Linked DNA regions of Notamacropus eugenii. The protein of the gene in region 2 purifies or fractionates together with the protein of the main gene of each other region. This does not show direct contact. Links are inferred from orthologs where the notes say so. Each region holds a gene or a part of one and is shown on either strand. Other genes may lie near its edges.

What was found. Proteins that work in one complex are often made in the same cells at the same time.
Region 1: the proteins of PPP2R1A (region 2) and PPFIA2 purify together in Homo sapiens (affinity purification with mass spectrometry; 3 studies listed by BioGRID and IntAct, with this or other methods). This does not show direct contact. The link is inferred for Notamacropus eugenii from reciprocal best matches to the Homo sapiens genes PPP2R1A and PPFIA2.

What each region holds. Positions count from the first base shown.
Region 1 is NC_092874.1:262,149,083-262,159,095, forward strand, and holds the start of PPFIA2 (liprin-alpha-2), read right to left. Parts: upstream 5,094-10,013; 5' UTR 4,464-5,093; intron 1-4,463. UniProt on the Homo sapiens protein: Alters PTPRF cellular localization and induces PTPRF clustering. May regulate the disassembly of focal adhesions.
Region 2 is NC_092876.1:25,189,661-25,200,732, reverse strand, and holds the start of PPP2R1A (serine/threonine-protein phosphatase 2A 65 kDa regulatory subunit A alpha isoform), read left to right. Parts: upstream 1-6,140; 5' UTR 6,141-6,255; coding exon 6,256-6,333; intron 6,334-11,072. UniProt on the Homo sapiens protein: The PR65 subunit of protein phosphatase 2A serves as a scaffolding molecule to coordinate the assembly of the catalytic subunit and a variable regulatory B subunit.

The sequences.
Region 1 (10,013 bases), on a different chromosome or scaffold from region 2:
TCCTTCCCAGCTTGAAAGATAATATCCTGTGTTTTTAAATCTGCCCTGATTCACTAAGGCGAAAGCAGGCCTTTGGGGGAAAAGCATTCATACCTAAAATTGAAATGATATCAAAATGATCACTATAATACATGGTGAAAGCATATCTCAAAAGTTTTAGTGCAGTTTTATGCTACTAAAGTTTAGTAGCTACTATAAGATTAGTAGTGTTAAACTGCACTAATACTTTTGGGACACATCTGATGAATAGACAGAGTAACAGTGACTGATCCACCATCAGAAAACAGAAAGGCATAAAAGCACACTCTTCATAACTTTAAAGAAATTAGACTTTTCAGACACAGACAAAAAGGTCAGGTTGTTTTTTTTTTTTTTAACTTGGAAAAAGGTTTTTCCTTTTCAACTTGAGGAAAGCATGATGCAGAGACAGGCAACAACAGCTCATATTTATAGATTGAATTAATAATTACAAAATAGTTTCCTCACTGAAATCTTGCAATAGTGTGAATACTGTACCACCATTTCAATTCAGGCTCAGAAGTCCCTTTTTCCAGGATCAGTCACACAACTAGCAAGTGTCAGAATGAGGATTTATTAATGCATACTTACAATTAAGACTATTCTTTGTTTGTTATAAATGTTTGTTGAAAATTCTTTTTAAGTGGGCATTTTTGGATGCTATCCTGATTCATCTCCACACTTTAAAGAATGATTGCCCATATCTAATTTTAGATGATCATATTTTATGTGTTAAATGACTGACTTGGGAAACTCCTCCCAGAAATGTTGACCATGTACCTCAGTAGACAGTTATAGAGTTGTCTGAGATTCACAGATATGCTAAGAGAGTTGTGCAGATACTTAAGTCAGTGGCAGAATATGAACTTGGGTCTTCCTGACTCCAGGTTAGAATACTCTACAGCATATCGTGCTACTTTTAGCAAAGCTCTGACAAAGGACACTTTATTCTACAACAATTTGACAACCCTTAATAGGTAAAAACACAGCATTCTGAATTTTTCTCATCTTTACCTGCCATCAGAAACTATCAGGGAAAAGAATATAGAATGCAAGAAGTGCCTTCAAAATTTTGCTTTTCAAAATTGCTAAGGAATAGGAATACATGGGATGTTCTGATAGTTCAATATTCAAAAACTATTAGTATACATGCCATGCATGAAATTAATAGAGTGAACAGCTATGCCAATCTCAAAAATAATCCTAAGAAGCCCATACTGCTTTCTTTCTAGTACTTAAAGTGAAAATCAACTCTTAGGCCACAGAAAATTACAATGCTTTGACAACATCTACTAAAGGGGAAAACACTTGAATTGCTTAGTATAGTTGCCCATAGGATAAAATATTAGAGGGACATGAGAGTTCATTATTCTATTACTCAAGGTATTACCTGCTTGAAAAACCAAATTATTAACCTTGATTATTTCTCCAATTATTTAACTAAAATAAATCTAAAGAAAATCAAATAGGCTAATAAAACTGCAGATAATTCCTTTATATTGAAGTTTAAGAAGAAGGCAAATTGAGGCAAATCTCCACACAATAAGAGGATGAGAAAATGATACAGAATCAATCTTAATCTTTCCAAGGCACCACAAGACTTCAAGAAAATGCTGGCTCAATTGTACTATAGCTGCTTTATAACTAAGCAACTTTTAGACTTACCAACATAAAGCTAGACCTTGATTTTCTCAACCAAAAATATCTTCTCATGAGCACAGTAGCCTAACTCCATCATAAAAAGTGGGCACATTTTGCCCCAGTGATGAAACATTAGTTCCACTACATGTGCCAGCATCCCTACTCTGAAATCCCAATGTGCCACCACTGCTGCTTACTTGGGAAATAAAAGGAATAAATGGTATACCTGCATCCCTAAACTTTCATGATATATAAAAAAGACTTGTAAAGAATTCCATCTGAAACAAAAAGAAATAAAAACATCATGCTGTCAGAATAGATCATTTTCAAATACTTAAGACAAATTATATGTAATACATATATCTATCTATCTATCTATAATCACAAAAGCAGACTAAACCGTAGTACAATTCATCCAGTTAAAATCCTGTACTTCATCATTTTTTATGCAATAAATAGCCACTAGAAAAGGGGGAAGGATTTTTTTTAAAGGATCATGCCACCAAGGAGAATAAAAAAGGACCACTTCTATGTATAAGCTCCATTTGGTATATTAACACTCCAGTTCTTTCTAATGAATGTCATCATTTGAAACTCCACTTGCAATATTCTCTGAACATATCCCTCTGTTTTTTATAGGCAGTTTATCAACTTAGATAGATTGAACAATTTAAAGACCTAGTGGCAGAAAGGATGATAGATGAAGGAGTTTACATGGCTCATTGTGATCTGCACCCTCTCCTCATCATATTATCTAGGCTTTTAAATGCATTTGTTAACATTTGACAATATGCAAGTACTCTTCTGGACAGCAGGGAATGACGCTTAAAATTTGCCATAAAAGTCTTGAGATGCATATAGTATATCAATCTCCTTGTTACTGTTTTCACGAGAAGATAACTCTTAGGTCAGATTGGGGAGTTAGAAATATCATTAATGGGGGGGGGGGGAAGGGGAGGAAGAAAATAAATGTAGGCACTTTAGTTTGGTGACTGGTGTTTGAATTGGCCTTGAAGTATTTCAGTTTATCAAAATGAGAAACAAGGAAAATGTTCCTCTGACCATAACCTTGACTGCCTTTCATATCCCTCTGGTCTCCAAATAAAAGTTTTGGATGCCAGCTGGACTCCAGGATCCAGGCTCAGAATGGAAAGCAATTGTTTTCTGTCGATCTCAAGAGTCCAAGAAGGACCTATTCAGATGTGACATAGACTATAAAGACTTAAACTCCTTGATGGATGTCACTGAATATTTCTACCCATCCCAATAGCTCATCAGAATTTAAAACTCAGCAAAGGCAAGGAAGTAGTCATTGGTAAGAATGAGTTTCTACTGCAATGATTGATTCTTAAGAACCCCATGGGCTCCACCTCAGTTAACCTACCGGGAGTGAGTAATTCAGCAAGAGAAAATCTTTGCCATTGTCTGAGTGGCATTGCATGCATATTCCCTCTCCTACTTAACTCTTTGACGTCTTCCGGAGAAAAGACTGTCATTTCCAAGGGAAGCATTTCCCACTTTCTTCACCCTACTGATTAGCATATGTCCTAATACTCACTGGACCGGCCCCTTCCCTCTCAAACTCCCCTGGACATCAAACCCAGCGGCCACACCCCCCCACCCAGAAGTTGACTTCGCGATCTCCACGCTAAAATTCACCACCCAGCATCAACTGGGAGCATAGGGAGAGGGACGAGGGCAAAGAAGTAGAGGAAGTAGAAAAGAGAAAGAAGATAAGGAAGACTAAAGCCGCCAGCCAGGATGAATTCTGTATTACAGACATCTTCCCTGGGGGTGGGGTGGGGCGGGGGGGGGGGTGGAAGAAGAAGAAAGAGCGCGTGGAGCTATCCGGGAGATATGGTACCTAAAGCCTGTGTTTGGGCGTCTGCTCCTTCAATTGATCATTGACAACCGCAGTCTCCACCGGCTTGAAGGGGGGTTGGGGAGGGGGTGTCGGCTCACGCCGGCCGCTCCTGGACCGTTTCCCTAGCAAGGGTAGGAGGAAGGTGGCTCAGAGAAAACCCCCGGCCCCAGCGCTTCGCCGGCAAGTGTCTGGACTTGGAGGCAGCAGCAGCAGTATCCCGGCATCTTCAGCAGCCAAAAGGAGAAGCGTCCATCGGAAAAATGGCATATTACAAATTTTGCTTTGGGAAGCAGAGCTCGGCTCAGACCATTGTCAAGAGGAGGAAGGGGGGAGGCGGCTCTTAAAGCCCCAGCGGCCCCTTTCCAGGAGCAACCGCCTCCACACCAATCCACGCTTACAGCTGGAAGGGGAGGCAAGGGAGGCAGCAGGAGGGGGACAGACGAAGCAGCTTGACTTTCCAAAACTTAATCGAATGGACCAGAAATCTCAACTATCTCTCCCTTCCGTCCCCGCCCCCTCCCCCAAGTCTGGGTCACTAGAGGTGAATAAACTCACTCTTGTGTCCCTTAATATGTGGGCACTGAAAAGCATGGGGGGGGGGGTTAGGAGGAAGAGCGCCCCACCTGGTTCTGAGTAGCCACCTTCTCTACAAAGGAGTTGTTAGTGAGCATTCATTAGCCCCAAAGCAACAGTAAAAAGGAACCCCATAGTAGGTGAGAAAGGCTAGGCAGGAATTCACCCTCCCTCCTGCCCCCATCCTGTACAGGTTTGTTCCAGGTTCTGTTCTTAATGCACTTATAAGATGCGCTCCTGGCTCCAAAGGGCAGGTAATACACGCCCTCCACCCTCCTCCCCTCCACACACCCACTTATCTTCCCCAAGCCTCGTGGGGAGGCTTACTTGTCCCAAGCACTCTAAGAAGTTGGCCCGCCCAACCAACCTGCTGCCTGCGCGCGTTGTACAGAAACTGGGCTCCGTGGGGCTGCTAAGGCATCGCTTGCTCCCCTTGCTCGCTCTCCGTGCGCCTCCGCGTTCTCTCCGGCGGCCAGGGGCTTCCCCTGGAAGCTGCTGCAGTGGTTTCCACCGGTCCTTAAATAAATTCTGAAGTAATCACGTCTTTGCTCTCCCCCTCACGCACACGCGCTCTCTCGCAGATAGATCCACACATACACTTGGCTGCCCAGATGCAGCGCCAGGGCCGTTGGTGGTGCGGCTGCCTCTGCTAGGGGCCGGCCCGACAGCTCCCACGGGCTCACGCAACACTCGCTCGCCTGCCCTTGGCTCCCGAAGGCTCAGAGAGAAACCCCGCAGAGAAAAGAGCCGGCAAGGCGGCGAGCTTTGCTCTGGCCTCGCCCCGCACCCCACTCGCTGGCATCCAGCGGTGCCCCGGGTGGAAGATTCGCGCTGCTTCCAGCGGGGACTGGCGGTTCGGTTCGCCCTCCGACCTCTCTCAGGCCCTGGCAGGCGTGCGGTGTGCCACACCGCGGCTCCTTGAAGGAGGAGCCTTCTTTCCCACGGGGCTGGAGACAGAAAGAGCTGGGGTTAACTGTGGTCTGGGTGTGGCAGCAGCGAACAGCTCCAGTCCTCTTCTCCCTCATTCATTGCTTTGGCGATGCTGATGTACCAGGTAAAAAGCGTGACAGCAGTAGCTGCACTCCAGACTTCGAACACTGTCGGTCCTGCCTCGGTTCCCCCGCCACCAACCCTCTCGTCATCTCCCAGATGAGCAGCCTAGCCAGGCTTCCCCCTTCCCACACCAGCCCAAACACACGCACACATTCCAGGAAAGGAGCAGGGAAGATGGGAAGAGGAGAATGTCTGAATTGCAACCTGCCCTACTTAGAGCACTAGTTCTGTCAAAGTAGCTAATCTATTCTCCTCATGCTGGTGATTAGGAAAAAGAGAGGACAGCGGGAGGACTGTGTTCGATTGCATGGCACAATTTTTAAAATGAAATTTAAAAAAAAAAACCAGGACTCTAGAGTCAAAGAAAGTAGTTCAAATCTCATCTCTGCCACTTACTAATTGTGTGACCTTGAACAAGTCACACAGCTTCCTAGTCACACAGGTCAACTTCCTAGGGCCCCATTCTCTTGGGAGAAAAAAAAAAAGAAAGAGATGAGGAGAAAAATGGAAAGGGCATAAAAGTATCACACCTTTAAACTAGACTTATCTAGTGTTTCTAAACATGCAGTTCTTTTCAGGGGCTAGTGTATGTATCCTGGAAAATACAAGGGACAGGCTTTACAGAAAACCCATCTCTTGACAGTCTGAAGAACTATGGCCACAGAGGCATTTTAGGAAAAAAAACCCTATAATTTTTTTTCATGGTCATAGGAGCAACAAAAAGAATGGCTACACATTTTCTCTGATTCCCATGACCTCTCAAATCTCTCCAAAATAGAATTTACATGACAAAGAGAAAGTAACTTCAACTATCCCCATGGTCTAGGACACAAAGAATCCAAATGAAGTTAAAACACACATACACACACACACACATACACACAAGAACTAACACTCACTATCCCTGAGCTAACTTATCACTGCTTCCCCCATGCTATTTCAAGTGAAGCTTTACTAGCACACCCAAGAACAGGACAAAAGCTTCCATGAAAACCCACCCCTGTACCTTGAGTGCCACTCCCTCTTTTCAAAGTCATGGATACCCCAGCTCCAGGCTGTAGAAGTTTGTTCAGTACTAAACAGCCCACTTGGCTACAGCCTTGCAAAAGCAAAAGTCTGCCTGAGATGGCAACCTAGAAGCACCCACAGAGTAAAGCTCTGGCCTAACTGTGGGGGTGGAAGATGGAGTGGGGATAGGCTCTGGGGTATTGGTGCCTAGCCAAGAGAACTGAGGAAGGAGAGAATACAACAGGTCCCTAGGGATGTGAACAGTGAATTGTCTAGTGTGGTAGGAGTCTGAGATGCTTTGAAATCCAGCACCTAAAGAAACCATAATCAGAGGGGAGGGAGTCAGGAAGTGAATGATAAAGAAAATAAGAGGGGAAAAGACTGAAAGTACTAAGAAGAAAAAAACTCAAAGACCTTGAACATAAACAGATAAATTGTAGTAAAAACTAATAGAAGAAGAAGTCTTCCTGAAGGAACTCTTCTGTTTGACTATTACAAATAGTCGTAGGAGCTGGATCTGTGGATTAATTTAGATTGTTCCCAGATGAAAAAATTCCTACAAGCAATGAAGGTCAACACTCTGTAAATCATAGTTTTGAGAGCTAAATAGATCATTGAGCAATTAAGTGACTTGACCAGAGTCATATAGCCAGTTATGTTCCAGAAGTGAGACTTGAACCTGTGTCTCTCTGGTTTTGATACTGGCTCCCTTTCTACCATGCCATCCATACTGTTTCTCATTATTTCATATACCAATCAAAATTTTAGTGTGATCTCATCAATTTAAGAATTCCTTCCAGTGATTCAGATGTTAGCCCAATCATGCCTGCTCCTCTTGTGAGATCTTGTTCATATCGTTGATTTGTAGAACCATATATTGAGAGCTAGAAGAGTCCTGAGATACCACTTTGTCCAGTCATCTTGTTTTACAGATGAAGAAAAGAGGCCCAGAGAGGTTAAATGGTACCGTTATCCCCAGGATGAAACAAAAACTTTGGCATTTAAAGCCCTTGACAACCTGGTTCCAACCTACCTTTGTAGACTTATGAAACATTTGTCCTATAAAGGTACCCTATTGTCTTCTTGTAACACCTTCAAACAAGCTGTTCTCTCCTCTATCTACAAGAAATCTACCCTTTTCCAATCAACTATATTTTGCCAAGCTGATGTTGATTTTCATTGATAGAGGGAGTTTCTTTGTGGGAAGTTATCCAGCAAAATCACAGGTCCAGTCTAATATTGATACCATCTATGGGCATTTATTTATGTATTTGCTCTCTCCTACTATAAAGTGTAAACTCCCTGAAGACAGGTCTTGTTTCCTTTTTTTGCCTTGGTGTCTTCAGTGTCTGGCATGTAATAAAGCCTTATGATAAATGCTTTTAGAGTGATTCATTGATCTGGGGAGAGAAGGGCTAGAAACAGACCCAGTTGAAAAAACCTAGTCTCCTATTACACAATTTAGTCCCCAGTACCCAAGACTTAAGGTCAGCTGGAGCCAAATAAGTCAGAAAGACGTGATAACAGAAGGCATCATTTGTGAAAACCAATCTAACTCCAGTCTCACCTAGCTGTGAAGTTTTCTTGACTATGACTTTTCTCTACTAGACCCTCAGCATGATTACTCTGTCTTACCCCATGGTGACTAGTCTTTTTATCTATGGCTACATTTCAGAAAAGCCCAATGGGTTATGAAAGAGTATTTGTTTTATTTGAAAGCAAGGACAATTGTGTTTGTCAAGAAGAGGCTTTCTCAGTGCCTGGACATAGTAAGGAGCTACCCAGCTTGTCTCCAACTCACCGCTGAAAATGGTTGATTAAGGCAATGTGTCATCACAATAGGGGTGATTTAGGAAATAGCTGCCATTTCCTCAGTAGGTCCAAGGATAATCTTTCTACAATGAAGAAAGATAATAGTATCAGCAGTGAACTGACTTATGAAGTGCATTTTTTTTCCACAACTGGATTTCAGACTGAGACTTTGCTCTGTGTGAAAATGTTTCTCAAGAAAGGATGCAGATCAATTCAGAGGACCATTAGTTTTGGACCTGGAAGGGAACTTTGAGATCATCTGCCAAGCCTAGAGGCCTGTATTGGGCTACCCGAGTCTTCCTTACCTCACCTCCGAGGTCTTCGGCTGGCCACGCCGGATGCACGTATGAGAGAAAGGACGTTCCAGAGTCAAACAGGGGTTGAGCTTTATTACAGGGTTTCGGTTACAAGTGCAGGGGGTCTTCTTTCTTAGGACGAAGAGGGGGAGATTTCCTAAGGAGGCTAAGCTTAAGGGATTGGAAGTAGAAGTACAAGCGGGGAGAGAGGGGGAGGGGAGAGAGGAAAGAAAAGAAGCGGAGCCCTACTTTTCTCTTTGGCTCCACACGTGCTAAGAGAGCTTTCAGGCTTCCTCAATCCTACTTAACCTTCAGCCACACAGTTTGCATCTCAATACCGTGCTGTTAGGTAACTAGGTGTGCTCCAATCCGGGACGACCTCGAGGGCAGGGAGACTCCACCCATCACATATCTCCAGGGGAGAGGCGGAAATACCCGAGCTAGCCGAGCTAGCTCGGTCTGACCTTCTCGAACCCCCGCTGTTCATGGAGGGCCTCGTAAGACTCTAAGATTTAGAAGTCCCACTTTTACCTGCCCGAGACTGTCCACACGGAATTGAGCTTCCAGTCCCAACAATCATCTAATGCAACCATTCCTTCTACATATAAGGAAACCCAGACTAAAAAGTTAAATTATTTGCTTAAGGCCACATGGGTACTGTAAGCTGGACCTGGGTGGGGAGAACCTTGACCCCTCCTCTCCTCCCCAAAAAAAGTCAGGGTAAATTAGAATTAACTAGATATAGAGTGGGATCACTGCATGCTACAATATAGCTGTGACTTAGTAGTCCTAGAAGAGAAAGGGAACTTGGAGGCATGTAGTACAGGAACCTCATATTAGAGATAAAGAAATTAGGGCTGGGGTGGAGGGGTTAGTAACATGCCCAAGGTCATTTAAGTAGTATCAGAGGGGTCATTTGAACCCTGGTTATCTGGCTAGAGAGCCAGCCAGTGTTCTCCACTCTATACTAGGGAGTTTTAGGTGGTTTAGTGGTTGCTCATGGTAATACAACTGTAATTGTTTCTCTTTTACCAGGAAGCTTTAGAGTCTTCCCCTCCCAGTTTGATTTTTTTTTTTTTTGATTAAAGGGGCCATTCCTTGAGCACCTACTTAAAGAAGCCTATTCATTGAATGAATCTATCTCACTCAAAGTGAGAATGCTATAAGACCTTAGCCTGAAAGGGCCAGGGTCTCACATTGCATCCTGGGCCATCTCCAGTCATCCTAATGAATATCAGGCCACTGGATCCAGATGGCTCAGGAGGAGAAAGTGAGGTTGGTGACCTGCACAGCTCTCCCTCACTCATATCAAAGTCAAGTGCAAGTCATGTCATCATCTTGATGTCATGGTCCTCTTCAAGAAGGAAGAACAAACACAACAACAACAACTAATGTCAGAAACAGTGTTTGAACCCACATCTTTGAGATTCTAAGCCAGGAATTCTTTTTTAAATATATTTTTCTATATTTAATCTTAAATTTATGGAGTAAAACAAGCACTTTCATAACATAGTATAATAAAAATAATTGCATATGAAATTGCAAATCTATTATGTAGAGCTTGCTATTCCTGTTAAATATATAATAAAGTCATCATATAAATTTTCCCTGTTTTTCTTCCCTCCCCCATCCATGCCTTAGAGATGATGGCCATTAAACACAAATATGCATGCGTGCATGCGTGTGTGTGTGTAAAATTATTCTGTTCATACTTCTGTTTATCAGTTCTTTCTCTGAGTGCAGATAGC
Region 2 (11,072 bases):
GGCTTCGGGAATATGTGAATTAAGAATTATCAGAAGAGTAGGATGGTCCTCAAAGAGGCGTGCTGGATTATGGAGAAAGCAAGGGAGTCTCAGAGAAACCTCTACTTCTGCCTCATTGACTACACTGAAACCTTTGTGTGAATCACAACAAAATGTGGCAAGTCCTCAAGGAAACTGGAGTACCAGATCATTGTACTTGTCTCCTGAGGAAGCTGTATGCAGGTCAAGAATTAACAGTTAGAAATGAACATGAGATAACTGATTGATTTAAGATTCACAAAGGAATAAGACAAGGCTGCACACGTCACCTTGTTTATTTAACTTAGATGCAGAGTAGATCATGGGAAATCCCAGACTGGATGACTTCAAAGCTGGATTTAAGGATGCCGAGAGAAATATGAACAATCTCAGATGTGCAGATGATACCACTCTGATGGGAGAAAGTGAAGAAAAACCAAGAAGCCTCTTGATGAGGGAGAAAGAGGAGAGTGCAAAAGCTGGCTTAAAGCTTAACATAGAAAAACCAAAAACGCAAACCAACTAAGATTTTGGCAACTGATCCCATCACTTCCTGGCAAAGAGAGGAAGAAGAAACGGAAGCAGTGTTGGATTTTATATTTCTGGACTCAAAGATCACTGTAGATGCTGACTGCAGCCATGAAATTAAAAGACATTTGCTCCTTGGAAGGAAAGCTATGGCAAATCTGGACAGCGTACTAAAAAGGGAGACATCGCCATGCTGACAAAGGTCCGTATAGTCAGAGCTATAGTTTTTCCAGAAGTAATGTATGGCTGTGAGAGCTGGACTATAAGGAAAGCTGAGCACTGCAGAATCAACACTTTTGAAAGCTGGTGCTGGAGAGGACTTTTGAGTGTCCCTTGGATAATAAGGAGATCAAATCAGTTAAAACTTAAAGAAATTGATTCAGGCTTTTTTAGTTTGGCCACATAATGAGAAGATGGAACTCAAGGGGAAAAGACACTGATGATGGGAAAGACTGAAGGCAAAAGGAGAAGGGGACAGCAGAGGATGAAATGGGTAGACGGTGTCATGGAAGCAAAGAACATGAGCTTGGACAGACTTTGGGATACAGTGGAGGATAGAATGACCTCCATAGGGGCCATGGGGTCACAAAGAGTTGGATAGGACTGAACAACTACAATAAATACAAGAAGGAAAAGTCAAGGTAATCAGATTAAAATTTATTTAGCCCTTTCAGGTTTGCAACACTGCAAGCTTAGGACGAGAGGAGTCTGAGAACCTGGTCATGCCCTCAAAAGAAACACTGAGGTTAGAAAGAGCAGACTGAGAGGGAGATCTAGCTCGAGGTTCTATGGAGGTGCACAGGGGATGTCCTGTAACCAGGGCCAGGCCTATTCCATTTCACCTCAGGCTTCCAGGGCAACCCTGAGGCTTAAGTCCCCTCAGGCTGTTATTCCCTCTGTTGTTAGGGAGTTCGTATCTAACATCCCAGTTCCTTTGAACAATTTAACACAGGCTTTTGCAAAGGGAATTTTTTATTTTTGCTTCAAAGGTACAGTAAGAAGAAATTGTGAAATTGAAAATTGATTTTAATTCTATTATTATAGTTTATCAAATTAGATTTAATATTCCCCTTTGAAAGTTTCACTCAGGTAACTTCAAGTCACCTGAGTTACAATTCTTATCTTGTAACTTGTATCTTTACCCTTATAACTTCACATACCACCCACATGGTGGGAAAAGAACAGGCTTAAACTAAATTGTAGACTATTTCCATCTCTCTAGGTGGGGTTGTCATATCTTTGCCTGGTGATCTTGGGAGTGGAGGGGGGGCGGTGTTTATAAAGAGAGATCCAAGAGATGGTATTTTCAAACTGAGGTTAGGGGTTTTGACTTTCTGGCTTTTCAGAATAAGACTCTTCTGCAGCTTGAAATTTTGTTCAGGAATCTTGTTCGTTGCTATAAAATACCTTGTCATGCTTTAGCCTCACTGGCCTTCTGGAGGTCACCACTGACCCACTTTGTTAGTAGACACTCTTGAAATTCTATATTGTGGCCTGCCAAGCCCTCCGGGACAGACACTTCCCTACATCACCTTGTTCTCTGAGAGAGAAGGCTCAAATCTTAGTTGGGGGCCTCCTTGGCTCTGGGCCCACTAAGTTACTGTCCAGAGTGCTGGATGAATTCTCTCACAGTTCATTACCCCAAATCTCTCCTTGCTCCTGGGGTAACTGATGGGGCTGGTGGCCTCATCTGGCCTGGATTGTGACTCTCATAATCCGAATGCTTGCTGCCCCTAAATGAGTGGGAAACTCTGCTTCCCAGACCTAGAACAGAAAGGAACAAAGAAAAAGGCCCAGAGACCAAGGCTGGTGTCTTGGGGCCCTATGACCACCACACTCCCCATGTTGTGAATAAAGCAAGTGGAGGTGGTTGGAGCTTGCTGGGGCCTGCCTTTTGGAAATGCCAGCACGTCTGAAGAAGGCTCTCCTTGGCCTTGTGATCTGGTTAGTCAGTGGGAACCAGTCACAGAATGACCATGCATGATCTGGTCCCTACCCCCCCCACCAGAGCTCCCTCATACATGTCTTCACTGTTTTCCCAGAAAGATCCTCATTTCTCAGGTTCTCCACGTTGCATCAACTGAGTAAGTTGAAGAAATCTGGGCACATACATACCAGACAACCATCACAGCAGTCAGAGACAGGGCACAGAGGGCTGGACAGACAGATTTAACGATCGGAGTGCACAGACATTTGCCACATATCTACTGTGTGCCAGGCACTGTGCTTGGTCAATGTACAGAGGTGATAACAGAAATCACAGGAATGATGGAGAAGGCAGAGAATATGGAGAGACTTGCTCCAAGGACAGACCCATTGGGAAGCTCCAGACTTGGGGAATTTGAGGCTGGTGATGAGCCAGCCAAGGAGACAGAGGCACAGTGCTCAGAGGGGCAGAACTGTCAGGGAGGAGCATAAGAGGAGTTTTAGGGGATGGGATCCAGAAGAAGAGGGAGCTTCCTGCGTGTAGCAATGCTGCAGAGAAGTTGACAAGAAGGACGAGGAATGACTTCAGAAGGAAGCATTTTCAGTGGGCTGAGTGGAAGTCAGATTGTAAGGGCATAGAGACTGGTGCATTTCTAGTCTGTCTGCACTTGTACAAACACTTCTCCCTTTCCCTGAGTGATACAACCTTGCTTCCCCTGATTCCTAGAATCAAGGATTAGTTTTTCTAAAAGGCAACTAAATGGCCCCTAGCAGCTGTTTGGCCCTTCCTCCCTACTCAGTTTCCTAGGTACCCAAGGGCATAGAAAATCCTGTCCAAGTGGAGCCAGGACCTTCTGAATCTGTAGGTTTCTGAAATCATCATAGCCTGCCTTGACCACCAAATGTGTTTCCATATGGAGATAAGTGGGGCTGAGTCCAAAGAAGTCAATCTTCTTGTTGCTTATCCTTTCTGGTTATAGCAAAGGAAACCTCCTTTGGTCAACTGTTCAATGACTTGTAAGTGTCTCATTTAGTCCCACTCTTGAACGTGAACTATAGGTGTTGGCATTAGGCTTTCCCTAGCACTCTGACAGAATGTCAGCCCCTGTGAGAGCAGGGAACATTTGATTTTTGTTTTTGAATCACTAGTGGCTAGCACAGTGCCTGGCATATTTTAGAGGCCTGATAAATGCTTGATGTTTGATGGACAGTAAGGAAGGGCAGGCAGTGGAGTACAGATGACTCTTTCTAGCAGTCTGGTTATGACAAAGAGGGGATGGATGGAAGTGGAAAGGTTTGTAGGTTGAGGAAGACTTACACCTATACACAGGCCGAGGAAGAGAAGGCAGGGTACAGGAAGAGATTGACGAGAACAAGGACCTAGGGGAATATGGAAAGATAGGAGGAAAGGATAGTTGGAAAGGTCAGTGTGAATGAAGGAGAAGATGACATCATGGAATCATAGAATATCACAGGGAATTTAGAACCCAGAATGTTAGGCTGAGAGAGCCCTTGGAACATGGGATGTCAGGGCTGGGGCAAAACTCAGCATGTAGGAGGTCAAAGCTGGGAGGAACCTTAGAAGGTTGTCTCCCAAATAAAATCTTAAATTCTCAATCCTGGCACTGAGAGCCTCCCACAATCCAGCCTACCTGTCCAGTCTTCTCTCTCACCATTCCCTTCACACAGAGCACCTTTCCCCTGAGCCAGGCTGCCTACCTCCACTCTCACCTGCCCATGATCCTTTGCTCATGCTCTCCATTATGCCTGGCATAGCCACTCCCCTTCCCCCACACCTGCTGAACACCTTATCTTCTTTCAAACCCCAGCTCAGGGACCACCTTCTCCAAAAAACAACAGGAAAACCCACTGAGTTTGGAGTCAGATCCTGGTGCTTCCACTGATTCACTGTATGGCCTTGGAAGAATCATTTCATGTCTCTGGCCTCTGTTTCCTTATCTGAAAGAAGAAAGGGCTGAACTAGAAGACCTCCAAGATTCCCTTAAAGCTCCAAATCTAGGCTCTTACGATGAGATGATAGTCATCTAGGAGGAGCAGCAGACAGAGCACCAAGCCTGGAGTTGGGAAAATCTGAGTTCAAATCCAGCCTCAGACACTTACTAGCTGTGTGGTCCTGGGCAAGTCACTTCACCCTGTTTGTCTCAGTCTCCCCATCTGTAAAAGGGAGAAGAAAATGCAAACCCCATCCAGTATCTCTGCCAAGAAAACCTCAAATGGGGTCACCAAGAGTTGGACAAGACTGAATGACTGAACAACAAATGACGAGTTGGTTTCTTAGGTCTCACCTCACTCCAGGTCTAGGATTCTATCCAAGCAGAAACATGGGACCTGAGCAGAGAGGGGTTGGCACTCTGGTAGAATGTGGGACTTGGCCTTAGGAAGACCCATATTGGAATCCTGCCACAGACACTGTGGCTGTGTGACCCTGGGCAAGTCCCTTTCTGTCTCTGAGTCTCATCTGTAATGAGAAGGGGTCCTGTTCTGTAAACAGGAAGCTTTGACACCTTTGCTAACAGAAAATGGCCCTGAGAGTTTGAGGACTCCCTGTACCACTGCCATTAATTAAGGTGGCCATGGGCTTGACAGTCTACGCTCGATTCAGGCTCTGACAGCTGGAAGGGACCCGGGAAGCCAGCAGGTCCAACACCTCCTTCTTCTGCCCCAGTATCACACTTTCTCGTGTCCATAGGCTAGCCCTTCTGGCTAGCTTCTGGAAGCTTCTTGAGGCCCCGTTCTTGGGGAAGCCAGCAGGTCCAACACCTCCTTCCTCTGCCCCAGTATCATACTTTCTCGTGTCCATAGGCTGCCCTTCTGGCTAGCTCCTGGAAGCTTCCTGAGGCCCTGTTCTTTGACCCACTTTCTTTGCTTCTTTTGTATTCAGCAGTCACTCAGTAAATGCTCTGAGGGCCAGAGCTGAGATGAACCTTCGGGTCTCTCTAGTCCGTTTTACAGAGGGGAAAACCCAGGGAGGGCTTTTGACCGGGGATGCCCAGAGAACTAGGGGCACAGGCAGGATTCGAACCCAGGCACAGGGTTCCTTCCATTACAACACGCTGCCTTTGACAACTGAGGGTATACTCCGTGAAATCACGAAGCTCGACTCCTTAGGGCTCAGGTGTAATCAGATTAAGTGATCTCTAAACGCCCTTCCCGCTCTGACGTCAGCTTCCTGGGAGAAGCCAGACACGCCCATGCCGAGGTTCTGCACCTGGCAGCGCGGACCAGGGGGAGAAGCAGGGTGGGAGCGCGCATTCTCAGTCCCCGAAGATGACGTCATCGCACCGCTCCAAGAGCCCGGCCTCCTCTAGGCCGAGTCTCGTCACCGTCCGTCACCTCCTATTGGCAGGATGTGCTGCAGTCGGTCTGTCGCTAGGGGCGATGACCAATGAAATTTTGGAGATCGATTAGGAGGAGGCGGGCCCACTTCGGTTGCTAGGATGCCAGTGGCAGCAGCCCGCCCCTTCTTCCTCCGCCCCTCTACGGGAAGTGGGCCAGCTAGAGAGAAGGCCCCTTTCTCCCCTGGCCAATAGAGGATAGGGGGCGTGTCCCTGTCTACTCGGGCCAATGGGCGCGCGGTGCCTCGTGCGGACTGGCCAATGGAAGCCCAGAAACCCCTGCAAAGTCGCTTGGGAGACCCCCCCCCCCTTCTGCTTGTGTCTCTGCCCCTCCCCCGCCCCGCCCCGTCCCACTCCCTTCCTTTCCCTTCCCTTCCCTCAGCTCGGCTCGGCTGCCGAAGCCTGACGGGAGCGGGACGGAGCCAAGATGGCGGCGGCCGACGGCGATGACTCGCTCTATCCCATCGCAGTACTCATCGACGAGCTCCGTAACGAGGACGTCCAGGTCAGGGCCGGGATCGGGGCCCGGGGGTCCTGGGGTTGCGGGCGGCGCGGGCGGCTGGCTCGGCGTTCTTGGCATCTGAGGGCTGGGGGTGGGGGGAGGGAAAGCGGACCAATCAGCGCCCGCGTCGCTTGTCTCGCGCCTCCGTGGCTCGCTGAGACAGCATCTCTGATTGGACAGCGGTGCCGCTGGGGAGGGGGCGCCCGGCCCGGGGACCCCAGGCCAAGCGGGTCTGTCAGGGGGCGGGAGCGCGGGCGCGGGGGCTGCCTCCGGAACCCCTGATTGGCTGGCACTCCTGGTTCTCACGGCGCGCAGGGGGCCACCTAATTGGTTCGCGGCGAGCAAAGAGCCTCTCGATTCGCTCTGGGCACGGACGGAAAGCGGGGACCCCCCAGTGGGTTAAGGCAGGGGAGCGGCCCCTGCAAGGGGCGGGGCTTAGCTCCTCCGAGGTTCCTAATTGGTGGCTTGGGGATTAAATCCCCAGCTGGGTCCAGGCCTCTCGAGGGAGCCTAGGCCGTGGTGCTTTTGGGGCCCCCCCCATTTCTCCATCTTGATTCTCCCCCAACCCCTCTTCAAGCCTATGACCCTCTGGGTAGAGAAAGTACCCTCCGGGGGTGATGCTGAACGGCGAGCCGAGCCAATCGCCGAGGAGAGCCCGCCCCCTTGGCGGCTTTCCATTGGACAGAGCCAGGCCGAGGCTCGGAGGCCCAGGTTGGGCTCCCGGCCCCTCTGCTCCCTCCGCGGGGTCTGGGGCCGGGTGGGACCCGGACCCGGGCCTCTGGGGGCTGGGCGTAGTGCAGTCGGACGTCTGTTTGTGCCCGTGACTCTGACTGACCACTGCATGACCTTGGGGAAGTCACAGCCCCTCCCTGGGCCTCAGTTTCCCTGTTTGTACAACGGGGAAGAATCTCCAATCCAGAACAACCTTCCCTTAGGGTCCTCCTCCTGCTGAGGCTGCGGGGCCGCCCCCTCCCCCCAGGGGGGCTCCTGCCCTAGTGTGGGGAGAACTAAAGCACGATAGTATGCTGTGTGCCCGAGGGGGAAAGAAGGGGGGGGGTGTCGGGGAAGGCCTCTTGGAGGAGGTGGGACGGACTCGATGGTGGGAATTCTGTGGGTCAAGAAGAGCGAGGTCGTTCTAGGCATAGGTTGCAAAGGCGTGGAGGTGGGAGAGTAGAGAGAATTTACCGGGAATGGACCGCTTTGTGGAGGCTTGAGGGAATAAAGGGGAATAACGTGAGGGAAGCTAGAAGGGCAGTCAGTGTGGGGCCTGACTCGGGAGGGTCTGAAATAACCACAAGCTTTTCAGCTCAGGAGTGCCATGGAATCTGGATGTCAATTAGGAGGATGAACCTGGGAGGCCACCCCACGAAGGATGGCTTACAGTGGGGAACACTGGGAGCAGAGGGTCTTTGGATAGTTCCTCCCTCTGCCCCTCAGCCTTGCCAGCCCAAAGAGTTATGGAAAAGGTCTCACCCAGGGTCATGTCGTTAGCTCCTAAGTAGCGGAACAGTAACTGGAATCCAAGTCTTCAGACTCCAGTTTCCAGGGCTGTTCCCTAAAGCTGAGCCATGAAGCAGTCTTTCACTTGGTTAGCAACCTTTCCTAGCTTTCCCACAGGCCAAGAGGATCTGATTTAGGGTTTTTAACCTATTAGAGCCATGTAGTTGATATAGTGAAAGCACCAGTTTTGGAATTAGAGGTCGTGTCCACATCCCAGCTCTTATTTAATTTTTCCCTCCTGACTTTGAACAAGTCGCTCAACATCCTTGAGTTTTGTTTCTTCTCCAAAATGAAAGATTTGGATTAGATGATCCCTAAGATACTACCTCTCCCTCTTCCTGTTTTAAATCCTGTGATCTCTTCAATCACATCATCAATTAATAAACATTTACTAAATGCCTGCTATGTGCCAGGAACTGGGCTAAGCTTTGGAGATACAAAAAGAGGCAAAAGACAGTGCCTGCTCTTAAGGAGTTTACAGTCTCTTTCCAGTTCCCTTATATACTTCGCCTGTCCCCACCAGCCAGGCTAGATGGACCATTCCTTCTGCTTGGAGTGGCCTTACTTCCTTCCCTTTACCATTCTAGATCTGTTGAAGTGCTCCCCATGCTTTGTGTTTTTACAAGCTCAACTTCAAAGTCATCTTTTCCAGGAAGCCTGCTCTGGTCACTTTAGCTGGAAGTGATCTGTTCTTTCTCCAAAACCGTGTTTGACCTCATGCTTCTCTCTATCTTAGGCATTTAGAGAGTTTGTTTTCCATTATAATTGTTGGCTTTTTAATTTGCCACCTAGATAGTACTCTGAGGTTAGAATCTAGGTCTTAATGGTTTTAAGAATGGTAGATATGGTACTAGACATGGGCTTAGGAAGACCTGAGCTCAAATCCTCTTTCAAATACTTACTAGCTGTGTGATCTTGGGCAAGTCACTTGACTTCTGAGACCTTCAGTTTCCTCATCTTTGAAATGAGGTGGTTGGGCTTGGTGTCTCTAAGTCCTTCCAGCCCTAAATTTGTGATTTATTAGATGCCTACTATGTGCCAAGCACTGGGAAAACAAAAAGAGGCAAAAGTCAGTCCCTGCGCACACAGAGTTTAAAATCTAATGGGGAAGATGACATCTAAGCAGTTATACACAAAGCAAGCTATGTACAGGCTAAATAGGATATAATTAACAGAGGGAAAGCATTACTCTTCCCAATAGTAGATTTTTTTTTCATGGCACTCCTGAGCTCAAAAGCCTTCAATGACTTCCTGCAGCCCAAAGACCAAGGTTCAAACTCTTCTGGTTATTTAAGGCCTTCCCTGCTAGACCACATCCTACCCTTCTAGCCAATCTCCTATTACTTCTCTTTATGTACCCTTAGGCCCTGGCCAAAGTGGTCACCCTCACTCACCATCTTCTCTTGACAGCCTATGCTCTCCCACCTTTCTATCTTTGCAGCTGATGCCTGGAATGATATGGTTTTGCTTGATTTCAGTCTTGGAGAACATTTGCGGAGTCGAATGGGAATGAAATGCCTTTTGTAAACCTTAAAGCTCTCCACCAGTGCCAGGGAGCATTGTTACCATGGTGCTGGGGGTGCGGGGGGATCTTGGAAGGGAAATAGGCTGGAAGCCAGTTATTCATTTATTCAGTGGTTTCCCCATCTGCAAGGTCAGGGGAGTGTGCATGGTTTGTGAAGGCCCTCCCAGCTCTGATCTAAAGGCTTGTGTGGCTAAGCCCTGTGCTCCTGAGACACTGATGAATAACAGTCTTGTCCTCAGAGACTATATGCTCATCTGGAGAGATGAGTCACTCATGGGAGAGAGAGTTAATTCCCATTTGCCAAAGACTTCCTGGAAGTGGTGGCCAGCAGGTAATAGCTTTGTTAATCTCCTTCCACAGGAAAGGATAAAATGTGGCTCGTAGATGGGACTGCTTTTACTATCAGCGGGGGCTCCTAAGAGATCTTCCTGCTTCTAGCCTCTTCCCCTCTCAAATCCAGACTTTATGGGCTGCTAGATTAATTTTTCTAATGCATAGATTTGTTTGTTCTGTTTTTTGGTTAAGGAAAATGAGGCAACTGAATTGTTACATGGAAATAGTTTAGAAGAGAGGCCTTTAAAGGGACCTTAGAAATCACCTGGCCAAGTTTTCTGCCCTCTTTGCCCAGTGTTTTCCCTTTCTTCACAATCTCTTTCGCATGTTATAGGCGTAAATAAGCAGGGGGAGAGAGGGGGGAGGTTAGGGGTGTCAAGTGTTGGCAGCGATTTTCATTCTCTTCCCTCTGCTCTCATCAAGAGTTAGCTCGGTAAGCAGACCATCATTAAGGGAGTCCTTTGTTCAGGTCACCGAGCTGAGCGCCACAGTGTAGTAGACCTTGTGTAGCCCTTGCCTTCAAGGACAGCCTATGTTTAGGAGGGGAATGGAATGTGTATATGATGAAAGCAAACATTTTGCAGTGCTGTTTTGGTGCAGTGTTTTATATCCATGATCTCATTTGACCTTTTGGACAGCTCTTTGCGTGTTTTAATGTTGATAAAGCACTTTTCCTGTGGTAGCCCTATGACCTAGATAGACTAAGTATTATTGTGGCCATTTTACAGAAGAGGAAACTGAGGTTCAGAGAGGAATTGACTCTCCCAGGGTCACAGAGCTAGAATGTTTTGGAGCCTGCACTTGAAGTGGGAGCACTTTCCCTGAATTGATACCAAGCCATGTATGTCATTTAAGTGGTTCAGAGCAGCCACAAGCATTTATTAAATATCTACCCTGTGCAACAAACCATGCTCATCCCCAGAAATTAAGGCCTGTAGGTCTTGTGAGGAAGGCGGGAGTGTGTTCAGTATGTCATGGAGTTCAGGGTCCTCTTCTTAGTGGTGCTTGACCAGAGCCTTGAAGGCTTGGGTTTCTGTGTTTGTGTTTGGAGAAACGTGAGAAGTTGGATCAGTGACAGAAATGGGGCAGGAGTGATTTCAGGGCATTTCATAGGACAGATCATCGTGGGAGCTGGGGGAGCAAAAGCTAGAGGTAGAACCCTAGGAGTACTCAGTCAGGAGGACCCACAGAACACAGAACCTCAGAATTGGCAAGGCTCATAGAATATGGAACCTCAGAGCTGGAGGCCCATAGAACATGGAACCTCAGAGCTGGAGGCCCACAGAACATGGAACCTCAGAGTTGGCAGGCCCATAGAACATGGAACCTCAGAGCTGGGAGGGTCCATAGAAAATGGAATCTCAGAGTTGGGAGGGCCTTTTAA